Linked DNA regions of Nothobranchius furzeri. The main gene of each other region encodes a partner of the protein of the gene in region 2 in a complex. Links are inferred from orthologs where the notes say so. Each region holds a gene or a part of one and is shown on either strand. Other genes may lie near its edges.

What was found. Proteins that work in one complex are often made in the same cells at the same time.
Region 1: strn3 (region 2) and ppp2cab share a complex: the UniProt entries of both Homo sapiens proteins name them as parts of the core of STRIPAK complex. The link is inferred for Nothobranchius furzeri from reciprocal best matches to the Homo sapiens genes STRN3 and PPP2CA.
Region 3: strn3 (region 2) and stk26 share a complex: the UniProt entries of both Homo sapiens proteins name them as parts of the core of STRIPAK complex. The link is inferred for Nothobranchius furzeri from reciprocal best matches to the Homo sapiens genes STRN3 and STK26.
Region 4: the proteins of strn3 (region 2) and sike1 are in contact, whole or in part, in a crystal structure (PDB 6AKL), measured with the Homo sapiens proteins. The link is inferred for Nothobranchius furzeri from reciprocal best matches to the Homo sapiens genes STRN3 and SIKE1. Residues at the interface, in NP_001077362.1 of Homo sapiens: Arg176, Leu179, Tyr182, Leu183, Val186, Tyr188; in NP_079349.2 of Homo sapiens: Glu96, His97, Ala100, Leu103, Ile104, Ser106, Lys107.

The regions. Positions count from the first base shown.
Region 1 is NC_091750.1:60,016,545-60,021,569, reverse strand, and holds the start of ppp2cab (serine/threonine-protein phosphatase 2A catalytic subunit alpha isoform), read left to right. Parts: upstream 1-1,897; 5' UTR 1,898-2,052; coding exon 2,053-2,154; intron 2,155-5,025. UniProt on the Homo sapiens protein: Catalytic subunit of protein phosphatase 2A (PP2A), a serine/threonine phosphatase involved in the regulation of a wide variety of enzymes, signal transduction pathways, and cellular events.
Region 2 is NC_091758.1:17,987,731-17,992,107, forward strand, and holds part of strn3 (striatin-3), read left to right. Parts: intron 1-3,119; coding exon 3,120-3,258; intron 3,259-3,347; coding exon 3,348-3,483; intron 3,484-3,606; coding exon 3,607-3,746; intron 3,747-3,818; coding exon 3,819-3,997; intron 3,998-4,377. UniProt on the Homo sapiens protein: Calmodulin-binding scaffolding protein which is the center of the striatin-interacting phosphatase and kinase (STRIPAK) complexes.
Region 3 is NC_091742.1:86,805,095-86,810,159, forward strand, and holds the start of stk26 (serine/threonine-protein kinase 26), read left to right. Parts: upstream 1-1,937; 5' UTR 1,938-2,217; coding exon 2,218-2,238; intron 2,239-5,065. UniProt on the Homo sapiens protein: Serine/threonine-protein kinase that acts as a mediator of cell growth. Modulates apoptosis. In association with STK24 negatively regulates Golgi reorientation in polarized cell migration upon RHO activation.
Region 4 is NC_091755.1:53,138,015-53,142,869, forward strand, and holds sike1 (suppressor of IKBKE 1), read left to right. Parts: upstream 1-1,727; 5' UTR 1,728-1,872; coding exon 1,873-2,031; intron 2,032-2,329; coding exon 2,330-2,435; intron 2,436-2,517; coding exon 2,518-2,660; intron 2,661-2,755; coding exon 2,756-2,869; intron 2,870-3,266; coding exon 3,267-3,389; 3' UTR 3,390-4,220; downstream 4,221-4,855. Other genes in the region: micos10 (MICOS complex subunit MIC10), read left to right, coding at 4,588-4,651.

The sequences.
Region 1 (5,025 bases), on a different chromosome or scaffold from region 2:
GAATATTAAAAAGAGAATTTGTTGATTTTGTATTTTGTCCTTTCCTCTTAGCTGGCCACATGCTGACCACATAAATAAACATGGACATATCAGAGAAGGATGTAAGAAGTCAAGAAAATTCAATGTTTTTTTTTCTAGGAAATATTGTTTGATTTGATTTTTTAAGTCAGTGTCACGTAAAAAAAATCACTGAAAATGAACAAATAAAATGTTAAAACCGCATAATTTTAAAAACATAAAAAAATGCTCTAAAACAATTTATCACACAAATATAATGATTGATATGGCAAAAATAAATGCATTTTATTTGTTTTTTTATCTGACCATAATGCTTAAAGTATAGTTAGAAATGTATAAGTTATGCCTGTAATTTGTAAAACAAAAGCAAGTGCAAAGAAACTGCATGTAAATCAGAAGAATGTTTTAATCTTATGTTTACAGCACCATGACCACGCCCCTTTCATCTAATGTGGACTGCATCGCCTGATGCAACAGATATTTCGAGAGTATTCCAGAAACACAATGGTGCCATCATCTGAGTAGTTTTGTTAAATGTCATTTAGCAGATACAACAAAGTACATTTAGAATGTAAACACAAATCCATGTAACTCGGTTTACAGATGTGGCCGTTTTTCTGTTGGACTGTTTTGTGTGTTTGTCACTACCTGAAGCACGTGGACACAGTGTAAAGCTTAATTTTTATATTGTTTACGCAGCCCAAATAAAAGGACATCATACACAACATACTGAATTCATATCGTAATTCGAGTGAGCAGCGGTGACGTATTCCCTAAAACGAGTTGTAACTTGTTCTTTGATGAATGAGGAGCCAATGAAATTGCAGAGGAAGCTGCTTTGTGAACCAATCACTGAGCTGCTATCATCGGCTCGCCCTGCTGTACGTGAAGTTGGACGTAAACCTAGACCGGAAATGTAAGATTTTATTTGGAGAATAAAGGTTTAATACAAAAGGGAACATTAAAATGAAATAAAAGCTATTGTATGTCCCCAAATTACTCTAAGTAAGAAACAATGGGTTATCTTTTTTCTCAGCTAATCTTTAAAAAAGGTATATTACAGATTCATAATTGGTATATAGCAACTTTTGCATAATTAAGAAGAAGAAAGGTTGTTTTATATAGAGCCTTTATAGCTAAAAATCACAAGGCACTTCACAAGCTCTATAAAAATGTAATTGAAAAAAATATATACACATATATTTTTCTTTATATATAAAGAAATTTAAAATTAAAATAAAAAACAATATTATTAGACAACCACAACTCTGATTCACTGTTCTGTCCTGCTAAAAGACATAAATAAATAAATACAAGCTATGTCATTGTCATGTTTACACTGGAAAGATCTGTTGCATCGGGTGATGAAAAGGCGTTGTGACTGTAATGTTAACATGAGATTTTAAAGCTAATTTTAAAAATCATTCTTCTATTTTGCTCTTTTTCATGTTTTATAAATCACAAATTTCTAACCACTTTAAGGATTAACATATTGTTTACAACTAAAGTAGATGTTTACAATGATAAACTAAGAGTTATTATGCAAGACTGTGTACAAATTTCAGTTTGAATTGAAAAGACTTTAAATTTTCTGACAATTATCTAAAAATGCTTTACTGACACATATCCTGCCATCTTCTCTGCTTTTAAGATACATTTTGAAGCAATTTGAAAAACAGAACAGTCTTTTTAAAAACTCATTTGGTTGTTATGTAGCTTATTTTAAATTTGAATTCACAGTAACGACGTGGTGCTTTTATTTAGAAAGTCTTAACCGGAACTGCTTTGTATAACAACAAACGACTTGATACAAGTGAATCGCCGGCTGGCGCTTCTCCCTCTTCTTCAGTTGTTCCCTTCAGTCAAATCGTAGCGATCTGGAAGTGGATGCATCTGCTCGCTGAGGGTCCTTTAGCCTCTGCTCTGCCCGGCTTGTAAACTCAAAAGAGTAGGGTCTCAAAAAACGGGTAGCAGAGGCGGGTTTTTAACCAAACTACACGCCGCTTCGGTAAGGAAACACAAAAAAAAACAGCAATGGACGAAAAGGCGTTCACGAAAGATCTGGACCAGTGGATTGAGCAGCTGAACGAATGCAAACAGCTATCCGAAGGACAAGTGAAGGCGCTATGTGAAAAGGTGAGATGGAAATAAATTGTTATAAAAAAAACTAACATTGTCTGCAACAGCTATCGTCGTTCAGACATTTTTAAAATGGCGTCGATAGTGTAGATTTCATAGTGAGGTGCGTTTTTTCATAACTTTAGGCTAGGCTACATTAATTACAGCCGCCTGTTTGGATCGTTGCTAGCTTAATTCCAGTCACACAGCATATTTACATCCCTCCTCATCCTATAGACAGCATCCGCGTCAGTTACTGAACCCTGGGAGTAACTCAGCCTTAATGGATAAAATATGTTTAAAAACAATATTTTTATCAGTGCCGCACAAACATGAACTCGATAATTAATTTTATTTTTTTTTCCAGAGGATGTGAAGTTATCCTGTTGGCATGATCTGTTTACATGTTTTTTTATTTATACTTTCATTGAGACAGTCTTGTCTCATTAAAATTAAACGGTACACTATTTTTGGGCAGAAACTAGAGCCTAAAAATAGGTTTAAATTGATCTCACGGGCCTCTGGGATCTATTATTTTAGTCTGACAAATCAATTCAAGCATCTTTATGTGGTTGTTTTTGTGCTCACAGAAGCTCCAAGACTGACGTTTGACCTTTCAGCCACTTCACTGGTGTTTATTTATTTAAGCCAGTTTCTTTGTGATAAGTAAAGGAAAAATTAGATGTAAGATTTCTGCATTGGCTAAATCCAAGTCCAAAAGTCCAACACTGATTCCTGCAGTTTAAAGCCATCCATCCTAAAAAACCTTTGCAGATTTCCAGATCTAAATGATGACCTGATGGGCTAGTGGGAAAATATCAGCAATGATCTTTAATCAGATTCTCTAATAATGCTTTTGTGTTATTATGTTGATCTGTTTTTTGTTCATGTGATAAAACATGCAGGGTTCCAGAATATACCGACAGAAGGCTACGTTTGGATGGGCTTTATTTATCTTTTTACCTGCATCTAGTCTCGAGCAGATCATAAATATCAACATTTTTTTTCTAGATCAGCTGTAATGTTTGCTTCCTGTAGTTTTAAAAATGTCCCCGTTGCACCGTGGGCCAAGACCTCAGTCTCCATGGGTCTGGCCTCAGCTGTGACTCAAATTACTGCTTTGTTTTGTCTCCGTCCGCCAAAAGAGATGAGGTGTTTTGGTTTCATTTATTTTTTATCTTAAAGTGATCGGTTTCATTTAGTCCTTAAAACAACAGAAATGGAGGATATGTTTGGTTTAATGACAACCATGAGGTCAGTTGAACCCCCCCCCCCACTTCATCCACCCCTCCATCTTTTCTCCTGTGCACTTTTGCTAAAATTTCCAGCAAAACACCCACACAACATCCTCCTCACTTTAAAAATAGCAGAGGATGTGATTGATTGTGAGTTGCATCACCAGCAGCACCATCAAAGCTTTGTTGCTACGGAGATCAGACTGTGAGACTGAGGACAGCAGTGTGTTGTGACTCAGAGAGCCAGCCATCTCTGTTATGGGATGTGTGTGTGAAGGAAAGTGATGTGCTATGTAATCACTTCTCAGTCATTTTCTTCCTTTCCAGCTTTCTCAGCAAAAACTGCTGCAGTTTCTTCCAGTAGGTGGCTAAATAATGAAGTTTTATAGTTCAGTCAGCTCTTGGTGGCCTGAATATATCTGGAAAATTAAAAGATTAGTGAATCAATTGGTTAATTACATAGAGAAAATGTGTTGTTCCCCTCTTGGCGATCTTTTTTCTCGGTTAAAATAAAATTAGTTGTCATAAATAAGCTCTTTATTTTTGCCTCACGTAACAAAATGCAAAATTCAGATTTCTGTCCCTATTTGAGTGCAACAATCATGTGGCATCACATAAGGTCAGACAGTGATGTAATGTGTCGATGGTCGCCCTACCTAGAGTACCTCTGCGGGACCCGTTTCAAGACAGAAGCAGTAAGAAAAGCCGTCTGTAGGGCGGCTAAAGCAGTTTAACCTTTAACCACAGTCATCATGTGTGACATCATCATTTCTGGTTGCAGTTTCTCCTCATCATCGGGTGTTATCGCTCCAAGTTGTTGTGTGGAAACACTTTGCTCGTTTTAATGGGATTGCTCTTACTCAGAAAACGCTGACTTGGTTTCTCTGTGCTTGCGCGGTTTGTTGACTGACGTCGTTTTGGGCAGAGCTGGAATTTGGCAGGGCGTGCCTCGTCCTCGCCGCTCTGGCAGGTGTGGTTGGAACTTTAGACGAGGTGTTTACGTAATGGCTGTTGGTATTTTTTCTACACCTGGATTGACATCATCATCATCATCATCATCATCTCTCGTAGATGATGAAGAGATTGAAGAAGAAGGTCACATCTTCATCCAGCTTTATGTAATCTCTGATTAGAGCTTAATCCTGTGCGGTGTTTTATTTATTATTATTATTATTTTTGTGTTGATTGTTATTGCGTTATGTCATCCTAACAATCTAATTTTGAGAAGGATGACTGGTTTCATTTAGTTTTTAGGCGATTGCCTTTGTGTTTTTTAAAGCTGCTGAGTCATCAGGCTTTTGGTTTAAAATGTAACCCAAATAAGCTCGAGGGGAGTGATCGATGGAGTTGTGCCATTGCGACCACCAGCAGCTTCAGCTGCACCCAGGGGTCCAGTTCGACAGGGATTTCTTAGTTTAGCAGCGATTATAAAATTTACACAGAAACGAGCTTCGAAAACATCCCCAAAGTCCTTATTTTTTGAGTACATGTATCGTTTCTGCTCTTTTTGAACATCACCTGATTTCTCCGTAAGCTGAAACGACCCGAGGGTTTCCAGCAGGTGTTGATGGACGAGTTTGGCTCAGAACCTGATACGTTGGACTTAATTAAAGCTCGTCTTCATGACTACGGCAGCGTCAAAGATCCCTTTCTA
Region 2 (4,377 bases):
CTGTCAGCAGTGGGTGTGTTGGCCCTGGTCGGCCTGAAGCAGACCCCCTCGAGAAGAGGGCTGAGAATGAGCCTTGGTTGGCCCGGAAAAATACCAGGCCACCCAGATATGTAAACAACCTACGCTACCCGGCCCGGGCCGACCCGGTACAGATGGTAATGGCACAATTTTTGAGAAAAAAAATCCATCTTCCAGTAAAAGCAAAGCATCCAGCCCACCTCTCCAAATGCGTAAAATGTGCATCACAGCCGCTAGGCGCGCTGCGCGCACCGTCAGCTACGTCAGCCCAGACAAGAGCAGAGCAAATAGAGAAATAATAGAGGATAATTGTGTCTGGATGTGGATGGAGATTACATTTTACAGCAGCCTGATCATCATTTAAATACGTAAACCATCACCTGTCCTCTAGTCCACGCTATCAGCATTATTTTAATTTGTGTGTGTGTGTGTGTGTGTGTGTGTGTGTGTGTGTGTGTGTGTGTGCGTGCGTGCGTGCGTGCGTGCGTGTGTGTGTGTGTGTTTTCCACATCAAACACTGGTCTAATCAACCAGACCAGCATGTCCAGTAACATATTAATGTTACAATTAAACAGTTTCACTTCATGTAGGCTAGGAACATTTCACCTGCCGTGGCCCGACCGCTTCTGCTCCACATAAACTTTGTGCGTGATCAAATGTCTCTACGCGTCATGCGTCTCCATATTAGACACGGGAACAAGCGCTGTTCAGCCTAAGTTTCATAATTTCATAAAAAGAACATTTTTCCAAGTGACACATCCCTCAGAGAGACCGGGTTTCCAGACCGCTTCAGTGGGAGGAAATCTTACCGCATGCGCCGTGGTTCTGCACTGCGCTGCAAACCCCTCTACAGATCTTCAGCTCACTGTCCACCGTGGGCGCTCCGAGCCGCGCTGAGCACAGTGTCCAGTATAAAGCTCTGATGTTCTGATGGGAATCATTTCTTGATTGATTTAGTTACCTCCGCGATGTGCGTAACGATTAAAATGTCAGCTCATCTGTGTGTGCATCAGTGTGCGTCGGGGTAATTCTTTCAAAACAACCAACATCCTTGAGTTTATCTGTCAAAATAAACAGTCAAATGGAAATATCTGTAACCTGCCATTTTACTGTTTTGCCTTCTTGTGAAGATTGTTGCAAAGAGAAACAACTAAACTTGATTAACCCCAGAGCCATGCACACTGCACTGTACTGACTGTAAAATGAGGGGGAAACGATTTAATTGGATCCTTTTCTCTTCAACATGGTTTAATGTAAAGTTTCATTCAGTACAACCTTTAGTTATACCAATCTAACGAGACAGAGCCTTTATTTGTATTCTGAACAGTTTAAACATGTTTAAAACGGAGACATGCGTGACACGTCTAAAATTCGCACCTGCTCCGCTGTTATGGAAATTAAGCTAACAAGATGAATAACATGAAATTATTTTGGGCACAGACAACATCCCCCACACTTTTGAAAAGCTTGAATGTGCCTGTCTGCCCCCACTGTTGATGGGTTGAATCTAGGGCTGGGAGATGTGGCTTCAAATCAGTATCACAGCATGATGAGCAGTTCACATTAAAAACGATGAATGGACGATAATTACCCGTATGCGCAAATACAAAAGTTGTCCACTAGATGGGGCTGTGGCAACATAATCGCTCCACAGCTGGTTTTATTGATGGTAATATTCCCCCACATCTATTCATAGTATGAATAGATGTGGGGGAATAATCAATATTTACTATGAATTTCATAGTAATTATTAATTAATTGCTACTTAAAAATAATGCGCAACTAAGTACTTAAGTAATTTGAGTTGTCAGGTAGTCAGGTTCTCTATAGAGTGGTTGTACTGAATGTTACGTCCTTTATTGGACAAAGCTGATCTTGTCATCTTGCTAACCAGGCTTAAACAATGGGTAGGGATCTCAGGGATTGCTCTGGAGTGGCAGGGGTCTTATCTAACTAGGATGTTGTATGAAGATTGGTAAAGCTCCATCTTACCTCATCTGAGGAGTGCCGCAAGGTTCCATCCTCAGACCCCTTTTATTTACCCTTTACCTGCTTGACATTTCAGAAGTATAAGCTGAGTTTTCATCTACATGCTGACTGTTGTTAAAGCTATTGCCCCATGAAACTGGGATAAAATGGTGCTTTTAAGATTATCCTGGCATGTCTGGAGGAGGTAAATATTTGGCTGGCTTACAGTTTTCTGAGTTTAATGAAAATAAAACAGAGGCCATTGTCTTGCTGCTGTTTTTACAGATTAAACTAAAGACACAGGAACAGACTGTGTTGCTACTTAGGAACCAAAAGACACAATTTTATATACAAATCTGCATCATCCCTTGAGCTATGTGGCCTTTGAAAGACTTCCAGAAGGTCTGAAGAAATGAAGATGGACCTGTTGCCAATCTAGATGGAGTAATGATGTAGTTTTCTTCTGAGACATGGGTTGGGCCTCCATAGAGGGTCACGAATAACGGGTGGGGACCGGAGAAGATCTCCAGAAATCTAAAACATCAAATCATTATTCCTAAAAGCATATTTGTTTAGAAATCTGAAGTTCCCATAATATTCAGGGTTTTGGTAAAGTTCAACCAGTGGTTTTTGGGCTTTCAGGTTGTGGAATGGTGCAAACACATTGAATAGAATAGGATAGACTATTGATCCCACAGAGGGGAAATTCTCTTGTTACTGCAGTATAAACACTTAAGAGAATACTATGAAGAAAAATAATAACAAAGGTACATGTATACACACATAGGCAGTAAGCTAGTATTGTAACCTTCAACCACTAAAAACCACAAATAAAAATGAAAAACTTGGTTCCAGAACCATGCAGCATACTGTAAGGGATGCAGACATACTAAGTTCATCTGGTTTTGCACAAGTATTGAACACATACTGAGTATTGCATTGATGCTTTTGTGTACCAGGATAATACCAGTACAGCTTAAACTGAGGAGTTCTACACTCTTACTGCAGAGGGGATGAATGACCCACAGAAGCGTTCTGTTTTACATCTGGGATGTCTCAGTCTATCTCTGAAGGAGCTGTCCATGGTCTCCAGAGTGGACGTGTGTGTGAACCACATGTGTGTTTGTGTGCAGAATTCCAACTGACAACTTGGAGACGTTCAACTTCTTGGAGAACACAGAGGACAGTGATGAAGATGATGATGAGGAGGGAGACCTAATGGACGACATCACTACGGACAAACACCATCGAGCTAAAAAACATAAAATAAATGTATGTGAAGAGAAACTGTGACTTAGCACCATTTCCCTCCTGTACTCCATTCTCCTGGAACTTTTTTTTCTGCTCTCATGGTCGACCAGGTAGGAAACGAGGGCTTAGCAACAGAGGATGACGCAGACACGGAGGAAGCTTTGAAGGAGTTTGATTTCTTGGTGACGGCAGAGGATGGAGAGGGGGCGGGGGAAGCCCGCAGCTCTGGTGATGGGACAGAGTGGGGTGAGATAGTCATCACACGTTAGCCAGCCAATGATCAAATGCAGAAATAAAACATGACGCATGTCTGAATGTTGGTGTCTGGACGTTTTGGACACAAGTGAATTTATCTGAGTCTCTCTGCAGCAGAGCCTCTACCCTTTTCCACTGCTGGGGGAAAGTCCTTCTTACTGGGGGGGTCTGATGATGTTCTGGAAAGCGTGCTGGGTTTGGGGGACCTTGCTGACCTCACCGTCGCCAACGATGAGGTGGACTTTGGCTACGATGTGAGGAAATGAAACTCAGTGGAACTCTGTCTGAATTCCTGATAAATGAGCTCACTCTGGTTTTGTCCTCAGCTCTCCTCCAGTAAAGAGTCTTCCTTCAGGAAGACCTGGAACCCCAAGTACACGTTACGGAGCCACTTTGATGGGGTCCGAGGGTTGGCGTTCCACCCTGTGGAGCCCTGCCTGGTCACAGTGTCTGAAGACCACACGCTCAAACTGTGGAACCTCACCAAGACCGTCCCAGCCAAAAAGTATGTGTTCTGATTTCTGGGCCCTCACTGGGTACAGGAGCTGCATCAGCTCAGGGTGTTGGTGGCTTTTAGTCGTTCCTGTGATCTTCTCTCACCTACACGACGTCGTCAGACACAGGTCCTCTGAGCTCACCAGGGACACTTCAGCTTTCTTTTACTCAGAAAAAAACTACAAATGAAAAACACAATGAGACACTAGGAACCAGGTGAGAACATTCAGACTGCTGATTCGTTAGATATTCCAGGGGCGTGGCTTCCAGACATATATACAGTTAGCAGGTTGTGTGTTATGATCAGATAAGGAGTTTGTAAAATGCTCGGAAGCTTTCAGGATTGATGTTTATTTAGAACACCAATAACAGGTGTGATGACATTCTGTG
Region 3 (5,065 bases), on a different chromosome or scaffold from region 2:
TGGATTCGACACTCCAGGAGATACTTTCCCCGATGCATCGATAGAGCTGACATTCCCTGTGATGATGACGAAAATATGTTGGCAGACAGATGGGAGCGTGTAGATATTACAGTTTTTCTCAGTCGCTTTGGTGCGTTTCTCAGAACACTATTAACATTTGCACAGCAGTTAGTGCATTTCTCAAAACAATTCGTGCAAACTGCAAAACCTAGTGGATAGCCTGCAAAAGGACGTCACATGCTCAAAATTGATAATCCATTCCTCAAAAGCAAGTATTCATGTCAATGAAACTGTCAGTGCCATCAAAATGAAAAGTCTTGACACCATCTTTATGAACAAGATAGTCAAATGGCTTTGTCATGTTTTCACCATGACAGTTTATAATTTCAGTGTTTTCCATTGCAAGAGTATTTGGTGACACCTGAAAATGCTCAAGACAGCACTATGCCCTACTTGTACAGCCATTTGAAATGTGCAGTAAAGTTACTGTAGATGTTATGGGAGTTTTGGGAGTAACTCAGACACTGAATACGTACGTTTTACATTTTTACTGTACAGAAGTGTTTGTAATTCTGCAGCATTGTGCAAAAGAAAATATGCTACAGTCACTTGTTTACTGTAGAATACATGTAAACAAAAAATCACCCTTTGGTAGAGCTGTGCACAAATGTGAACAATATACAGTACATGTAACAGTACATACAGTATTGCACAGTACTGTAACATACAGATACAGTAAATCATTCTGGCATTTCCAGACGTTCCTGTCTGTCTGGCCACAAATTTTCATCTACATCACAGCGGATGTCATCCCTCGCAATGCAGCGAGGAAAGTATCTCCTGGTGTGGCGAATCCATCCTCTGCAGGACTCTGCTGTGATGTCACCACAAGCTGCATCCATAGCTGCTAGCAGGGCCATTTGGGTATGTGGATGCCTGCCATATACCTTCCACCTCAGCGAAGAGGAAAAACTCCTCAGTTGGATTTAGGAATGGAGTGTAAGGAGGAAGAAACTCCCTAAGCATCCTGTCGTGTGCTGCAAACCACTGGCTGACTACAGCAGAGTGATGGAAGCTAACATTATCCCAAACCATTACATACATTGTCCGATTGTCACCAGGACACACACCAATTTTCATTAGTGTGAGAAAAGGTTCACCTGAGAAAAGTAATTAATGGAGATTTCCATGGAAACTCCTTAAAATAGGGTTTTCAAAATGGGTGTACAAATTGTTTGACAAGATGTTCAACAATTTTGAGTGCAATGACACGAGCAATGAAATGAAGACTATTAGTTGTAAGGGCAATGACTATTCAGCCGGTACAAGTATAAAGAATTGTGACATTCATGATAAAAGCAAGGAGATAGTGATGAATAGCAAGTCAAAAGTGAATTCTTTAGACATTTGTACTTACTCAACTGCTTCATGTCCAAAGGCATTTGCCTTTGACTGAAATGAACATGAAACTGCCACTAGGTTGTGCCAAAATGACTACATGTTGTGGAGGTTGAACCAACTGTTGTGCAAAGTTTAATTCTGTTGTGAGAAATGCACCAAAGCAACTGAGAAAAACTGTAATAATAATAATAATAATAATAATAATAATAATAATAATAATAATAATAATAATATCAATGACGAAGAAATGAAGAGGGCTAAAAGAAAATGCAGCCTGGAAAGGGGCAAGAGTAGGAAAGGAGTGAAAAGTGCAAGATGCATTTGAATGCATCACGAATGGTTAGAAATTTCATAAAAGTTATGCAAAGGGATAATGTTATTATTTATGTTCAGTCAGACAGACGATAGATAGATAGATAGATAGATAGATAGATAGATAGATAGATAGATAGATAGATAGATAGATAGATAGATAGATAGATAGATAGACAGACAGCCACCAGGGGGCAGCAGTAGTACTCCTGTGGGGGTGCAGCTCCACCGCTCGCTCCTCCTAGAAGTAGGCGGCTACCAGCTCGTCATCCTCGTTTGTTTGCTCCACACTTTTTTTCATGCGGACTTTGTCACACAGTTTTGTCGTCCGTCCATTTCATTCTCTTGCAAACAAACGGAGTCGGAAGTACCCGCTCGCTTCGAAGTCCACTCGCTCTATTCCTCTAAAGTCAAGTTTGACCTCGAAACAGAAGAAGAAGAAAAGCCGGAGTCGAAAAGGAGGAAAACGGAGGAACCTGGAGGAGGAAAAAGGTCGAAGTAACCATGGAAGTTCCTGGTATGCAGGTGAGTGCAAAGGTGGATCCGTTCACTGGTTTGTCAGGGGTTTGGGGTCCTTTTCGGGCCGGGCTCGGACAAAGTAAAGCAGTGAGGCAACAAGGAAGGAGGGATTGGGAAACTAGAGGCCGTTTCTGTGTTTCTGGTCTTACCTGAAGACAAAAAGCCTTCAGAAGTCAGACAGCCCGTCTCGTCTCCACACCCAGGAAAGAGAGGGCTCTGCCAGGACTTCTCATGGCTGTGCGAGCCTTTTATATATTTGTTTACTACAACTCCTCGTCTCTAATACACCCACCTGTGGACTGTTTCTATGTACTGAGCTTCTTTGGCTGTTTGTGATCATCGAAGTGCACAAAAACAGAGTTAGCGATGGTTTTGGTGTGTTGACATGTCTGAAACAGACTTGTGTTTATTATGGTTAGTGTCTGGTTTATAAACCCCAGCTCGATGCTTAAAGGGAATTAGGGTTTTAAGGTATGGCTTTTGTAACTTTTTATTACTCAGAACTTAGCCTGCTTATCTATCTATCTATCTATCTATCTATCTATCTATCTATCTATCTATCTATCTATCTATCTATCTATCTATCTATCTATCTATCTATCTATCAGCTATCTATCTATCTATCTATCTATCTATCTATCAGCTATCTATCGTGTGTGTGTGTGTGTGTGTGTGTGTGTGTGTGTGTGTGTGTGTGTGTGTGTGTGTGTGTGTGTGTGTGTGTGTGTGTGTGAGATTGTTAACAGATAGTTGTTACTGTGTTATAACTGCTGCAGATAAATTTACAGTGGCTTCTCAGCAGGTTTCAGTTCAGATGGCCTTTTTCTCATTCATTTTATGTTCCCTTTCCTCACTTTTTTTACAATTTAATATTTCGGATGTTTTAATATTTGAAAATGTTTTCAATTTCTTAATTTTGTTTTAATTTTTTGTTCTTGTGGAGAGATTTTTATCTTGAGAGGCGCTATATAAAAGACCGTTTCTTCTTCTTCTGTGTCACCCTAAAAGGATTTATCAATTCTCAATAACTTTGTAACCTTATCAAGTGTTCTACGTACGTTAGTGTGACATTTGCTTATTTATGTGAATTAAAACCTATTTTGAGTATTAGGCAAGGAAATGCAGCTTTATTTATTGAGCACATTTCTAACACAGAGGCAATTCAGTGTGCAAATATTATGGGTATTATAGTTACAACAAAGCTGTGCAAAAATCCTATTCTTTGCCAATTTCAATCACAAAAATGACCTAATTGACCAATAATCAATATTTCATTATCATCAAAAGTATTTAGTGGTCATTTGCTTTGCATCGAAGCGTGCAACTGCCCTGAAGAAGGTCGCACGTGACCGAAATGTGTCGGTTTATATTATAATAAATTATTTTTGGGAGTGCCTCAAATCACGATTTTTTTTTCCAATATCTACTTTTGAAGTTTTTATGATCTTGAAGAGTGCCCGAGATACTACAGAAATTATAGATCTATCTAGTCGCACTGATGCACTCACTCCCATCTGTTTGAATCTATAATTTTATTCATTTTTATCTTTGTAAATGAGACAAACCATGGTAGAATGAGAGCAAAACACACCGGCAGTGTCGGACACAACTCAAATAGACAGTTCTAACACCACATGCAGCTTTCAGTGATGTTCTTCTATAAGGGTCAGCTTCCAAATGGGGAAATTTTCCGGAGGGAAAAAAAATAGTCATGCACTCTGGTTTTCCTGCTCGGACCTCTAAGGCTCCAATAGCAGCTTCAGGCACCTTCGTGTGGACCGATATTGAGGTGCTCTTAAATGCGAAAGGTGTTTGGACAATCAATAAATGTTTCTGTAAACATGTGATGTTGGGGCGTTTTTGTCGCATGTGTTGACGTGAAACCTAAAGTGCTGACAACGAAGAATTTGTAGATCTTCACTTTGGCCGGGGTTTCTGAAAGGATCGTTTTTGGTGGCGTTGATCTTCACTTTCATGCCGGCGACAGGCCAGGGATACCTAGCTACGTACATGGCCTCAGACTCTACTCATGCTACTTTTAGCTCCGTTTTAATGTTTTATCATTTTAATTAATCCAGATCCATCTTGAATTATTTTTGATTCATTTAGATTTTTTCCTTTACATTTTATTATTATGAGTCTGTTGTTTTAGTTTCACTGATAATTTTCCTGTGTGAACTCGTTTTGTGGTTTAAGTTTGAAATTCCTGCGTGAGTGTGTTCTTTAGGCCACAAGCCTGTGATATCTCTTACCCTCTGATTAAAATGACCTAATGCTGCTTTTAATATATTTGTACTGCTTCCAAAGTCACTTGAGTGTATTTATAGCTCAACCCCTTTTTCTGCTAGATACGGTTTTGCAATAAGATGCTAGGTGTGTTTTAGTTCAGCAGCTCGCTTTGTTCCCACGTTGCTTAGCAGCTTTGTGTTTGTATTTACCTTTCATGGATTTTACTGTTTTACTTGCTCTAGAATCTATGGTGGTGATTGTTAAAGGTAAATGTCGTTTCCTGCCAGTAAGAAGGCGTGTAACGAGAGTAACGCATTGTAAAAGCTGCCATTTGGCCTCCTGTTTGGCCGGCTTTCAGGTGTGTCTACCTGTGGGACCTGCTTGCTCTGTTGGTCCCAGGTGGGAGGGTCAGGTGTGTTGTCACAGGCTGGTTGAGTCAACACTCACCTGACGCCCGGCGGCAGCTGCAGCAGCTGACACAGACGTCTGCTGTACCTGCCAAGACGCCCAGTCATGCATAGTAGAGCGTGTCATCTGCGCATCTAGATTGATTAAGTGGCAAATATAGCGTGTCGTCTTGTTTGACTGTTTTAAAGTAGATTTT
Region 4 (4,855 bases), on a different chromosome or scaffold from region 2:
TATTTTATGGCATAATTTGTGATTTCAACACAGGTAAACAAAACAAAAAAATACTTCCAGTCATGATACAAGCAGTTTATAATCAGTGTACCACTGTTTTATGAAACAGCATAAAACAGGCAAAACATGCCAGTTAAGTACCAGTGACCCTGATGATGTCTGAGCAAGAAAGAGCATTGCTTTGCCAGGGCCAAGCATGTGACTTCCTGACAATCCGCTATTCTCAGCTGGAAGAGTCAAAGTGACCCGAGCAATTGTGCTGAACACCACGATAAAAAGCGTTTCAATTTTAATTAAAAACTCGTCACAAACCCAGAAATTAAAATACACATCCATGAGTAAAAAACAAGCATAATGGTGAATAAAACCTGACTAAAATAAAATTATAAACGCCTCAGACTTCTAAAGAAACGTTGCTCAGGCTACAATGCCACGTATTCTTCATTTGATTTTAATAAATGGTATATTGATACTTTCGAAAAAATATAAACAAAGATGCTTTCTTTCAAGAGAAGTACGTCGTATAAATTGTTTTTTGTAATTATTTGGAAAACTTAAGAATAAACGTAAAGGTCCAGTTTAAGGTGTATCGTTAAGAAGTAGGTTGGCACATTTGCGACATCATCCAGCTGAAACAAATGCAAAAACCAAAATGGGAATTAGATCAAAACCAATTTTAAATCCGAAATTTGTCAGACGGCTAATCAAGTCCGATACAACACACATGCGCTAAAACGTGTTTGATTTCCTAACAGATCGAGGGTAAACGAAGAAAACACCGCGGCTAACGGCACGAGGATGATGGAAAACAAAGAAACTACCTACAAAGCTCGCGTCTACAAAAGTTGTGCACCAACTAGAAACGTCTTAAGTGTTAGAATGGCCAAAGTAGCATGTCTTCGGTACTTTAGACACGTCAAAGAAACGCCAGCTTGCTATTTAACCGTCGCTCGGTCGTTTGGAACGTTAGCTCGTTAGCCAGAGCACGCTGCTGTGGCCCGAGAAAAAACAAGGCATCCCCACCCAGGCCCGACTTCTGCTGTACACCGCCCGTTCGCTTTGGTGACCCCGCCTGAATTATAAAAAAATTAAATGCGAAATAAGACATTTAAATATATCTCAACGGTTTACCAAGCAGAGAAAAATAATATAAAACTCACCCCAACAGCTTTTAGCACTGTCACCAGCGCCGCTAGAAGCAGCACGGCACATTACGTAGTGATTAGGGAGACAGCTCCCGCGATATTTGACGAAGGCTAGGGAAGCCTCTGCAGCTGGCTCTGTTGTCACGCATGGGTTCATGGGAAATGATGTTCAGTTGTTTTGAAGTAAATAATCGGGCTCAACCTGGGCTCAACCGAGGTTTAAAAGGCATTAAATGCTTAATATGCAGTAAAGTATGCTATTAAATGTTAAAACGGCTTTTCCCACAGGTCTGCGCACCAGACACTCATGAAGATAGTTGGATAATGAAATTATTCAGAAAATGTCTATGCACACGGTTTCCTTGCCGAGAATGAGAAAACCAAAGGATTCGTAAACATTTTTACGTCTACGATGATACGTTTGACGGCAAGATACTTGTTTACGGTACAATCCCGGAAGTGACGCTATATTTTTTCCTCTCGAATACGAAGTTGCCAACAAAAAGAGGGATTTCTTTTGTTATACATTGTCCTGGTTTAATTAGTCATCTGTCTCTTGAGAAATGATCTAGGAGGGTCCGCTGAGATATGAATATTTGTTTGTAAAACATTTTTGTGCGTTTGAACAGCATAGCCAGCGTAAGCTACAGTACGGGCAAATTTTCGCCTGATCAAACTGGTATTTGGAAGCTTTAGTTTACAAATACGACTAGTCACTTAATAGCTAATGGCCTGTACTTTTGAAAAAGTGTTGGGGGATGCTAGGACCCTCCTGGAAAGGCTGAAAGAGCACGATACGGCTGCTGAGGGACTGATCGAGCAATCCGGGGCCCTCAGCCAGAGAGTGCAGGGCATGAGGGAGGTGGGCAATGCTCTTCCAGACAAGGTAAGATGGTCTCTCACACATAAACGTTGGGTGAAAGTATATTTATATTAGAAGGCTGACTTAAGCCATGCATTAAGGATTTGGGGTTGCAGGTAAGCTTAAAATGACACTCTTCTCTAACTCTACTCAAGTACTTAGACATTTTGAGATAGAAGGTCTGATCGTCCAAAAAAGTACACCAGCCTTTAAAAGCATATTTAAATAATGGGAATTATTTATCAAGAGGTGGAACAGTCATCCAACTAGTGCTTAAAATGTATTTTTTACTTATGACATTTTCCTTGTTGCTGCCTTTTAGCACACAGAAGACAGCTCAGAGATTCGGGAACTCACAAAATACAAGCCTCACATCCTTCTGACTCAAGAAAACACTCAAATCAAGGAATTGCAGCAAGAGAATAAAGGTAAAATCCTTACAATGTTTTTAGGTATTTTTAGAGTTCATGTGTTTGTCTGTAATTTTTGTCTTCGCCACTGTTTCCGCAGAACTATGGCTGTCCCTTGAAGAGCACCAGTACACACTAGAACTGATCATGGGTCGATATCGCAAGCAGATGCTCCAGCTGATGATGGCAAAAAAGGAGCTGGACACGAAACCAGTGCTCAGACTACACCAAGACTACGTCAAAGTACACCAACTTTCATTGTGCTGTGAACATTCCCAGTCATGTAATTTTCTGACAGAAAAAGGGGTTTGAAGTTATGCTTTCTGAATCTTATCCAGGAAGTGCAAAGCCAGGTGGAACGGATATGTGAGATGGGCCAAGTGATGAGGAGAGCCATGCAGGTGGACGATCAGCACTTCTGCTCTGTTCAAGAGAGGCTTGCTCAACTGGAGGTAAGGACTGGAATGGCAGTCGTGATGTCAGGAGTTATCATTAAGCTTTTAAAAGGCAAAATCAGTGACTCTAAGGCTTTGAAACAGCTCAGGAAATTAGCATGAGTCTACAAACACACACAAGGCTTAGTGCTGCTAGCATAAAAACTGTTGGAGTTTCTCAGGTTTTCTTGTTTGCTAGTTTCCTGGAGCGTATGGTGCAGCATTAGATTATGAATGAAAATATCTGGACACACCTGAGATCAACTTAGAAACTCTTTGAGATGACTTTCTTGACTCATTCTGGTTAAAATGTTGATTCAATAAACCAAACTCGCATAGATACAACCATCTTGCATGGACTGGTGATAACGAGTAATCTACACGAGGTTACGTTTGGTTATCCGGGCTCTTTCAGATTGAGAACAAGGAGCTTCGGGACCTTCTGGCCATCAGCCAGGCATCTGTGAAGATGGGAAATGAAGAGAGCCACCAGCCATCAACACCAGCAGCAGCAGTGCCCTCAGGCAGTGACCAATGAGTGACCCGAGCAGCTGCAGTCTGAACTGATCAGGTGGAACAACCAACCAAACAGGAAGAGCTTTTTCTTTTTTAAGCACAACCTAGATTGCAGAATAATGTTTGTAAAAGTAATTTAAATTCAACATTAAAGCCATCAGAAGCATTTAACTACCAGTGGGTATATCATTATGATAGATATCTTTATGTACAGTAGTTGTGTTTTCACTGCAGCAATGTTGGGAGTGAATTCCTCATAAACGAACGGAGTTTGACTGAGGTGCTTTGGGTATCACTGGTTTATTTTATATTTATCTAAATGCTGAAGTGAAGCTGAGGGAGATTTATTTTTGTTTAGAATGGAGAAAGGATGAGTTTAATCTTTTAAGAACATAAAAAAGTAAAATGCCCAAAAAGTAAAATGCCTCTGTTTTAAACGCTAACTTGTACACCACGTGTGATGTTGTGTTCATCGCCAAGAAAATGACTATTGGCTGTTTCACAAAACAAAATGCCTGCGCTGGAATGACAGTGGGCAGTTTTTTAAAGAGATTGTAAATTTATAAATGTACATTTTGTCTGCCATAGTTGATTGTTATGCTTACAACATGATAAATACCAGTTTTTACTCTGAATTTTTAGATTGGATTGCAGAGTAAATGTGTAATAGTTGACTGCACATCTTTCTCACGGTAACATTTTGTAAGCATTACTTTTTTGAGTGTTATGTACTTGTGCACTGTTATTTTGTCATGAACTGTAAATGTCATCTCAGGAAATTACTGTTGGTTAAGTGAACATGTTTATGGAAGTGTAATTATTTGTGTAAAATAAAACTCGTTCTGAAAACTAAGTCATATTACCTTATGGTGAAGTTTTTGTTGATAAAACACAAAAACCTTATTTTTTAATTCAGGGTTTCACCGCTAGGTGGTGATTTTAAGCTCTTCTGATTGTGACAATGAGACGTTTGGAAAAACATCGCTCCAATAACATTTAAGTGGGAAAAAGCACCAAAAAACGTTAATTTATTTCAAGGCTTCAAAGTATTTTTATCATTGTCGATTATTTGATAAGATTTCATAAATGACGTGGTGAAATAATGGGAACTGCACCGCAATTTTCTTGTTATTCTAAATTTGATTTTCACAACTTGAATATTTTCCGGGTGACCTAAACGCAGCACCAGAGTCACATACCTGGAGCGAAGCTAAGTCAGGATGTCTGAGAAGGAGCTCGGTAAAAAGTGGGACCGGTGCCTCGCAGACGGTGTCATTAAACTTGGTAAATGTTTCCAAGTGTTCGTGTGATACTGTTACTTTAGTGTCCTGGAAAAGGGACAAAGAAAGCTGTTTTACTGTTTCACGCAGCTGTCATTGACTGCCTGGAAGGTTGGCTAACTAGCCAGCTAGCATGCTAGCAAAGGGCTTGGAAACGACAATGAAGTAATTTGTGAGCTAAACACTATCGTTAATTCAAATTTAAATG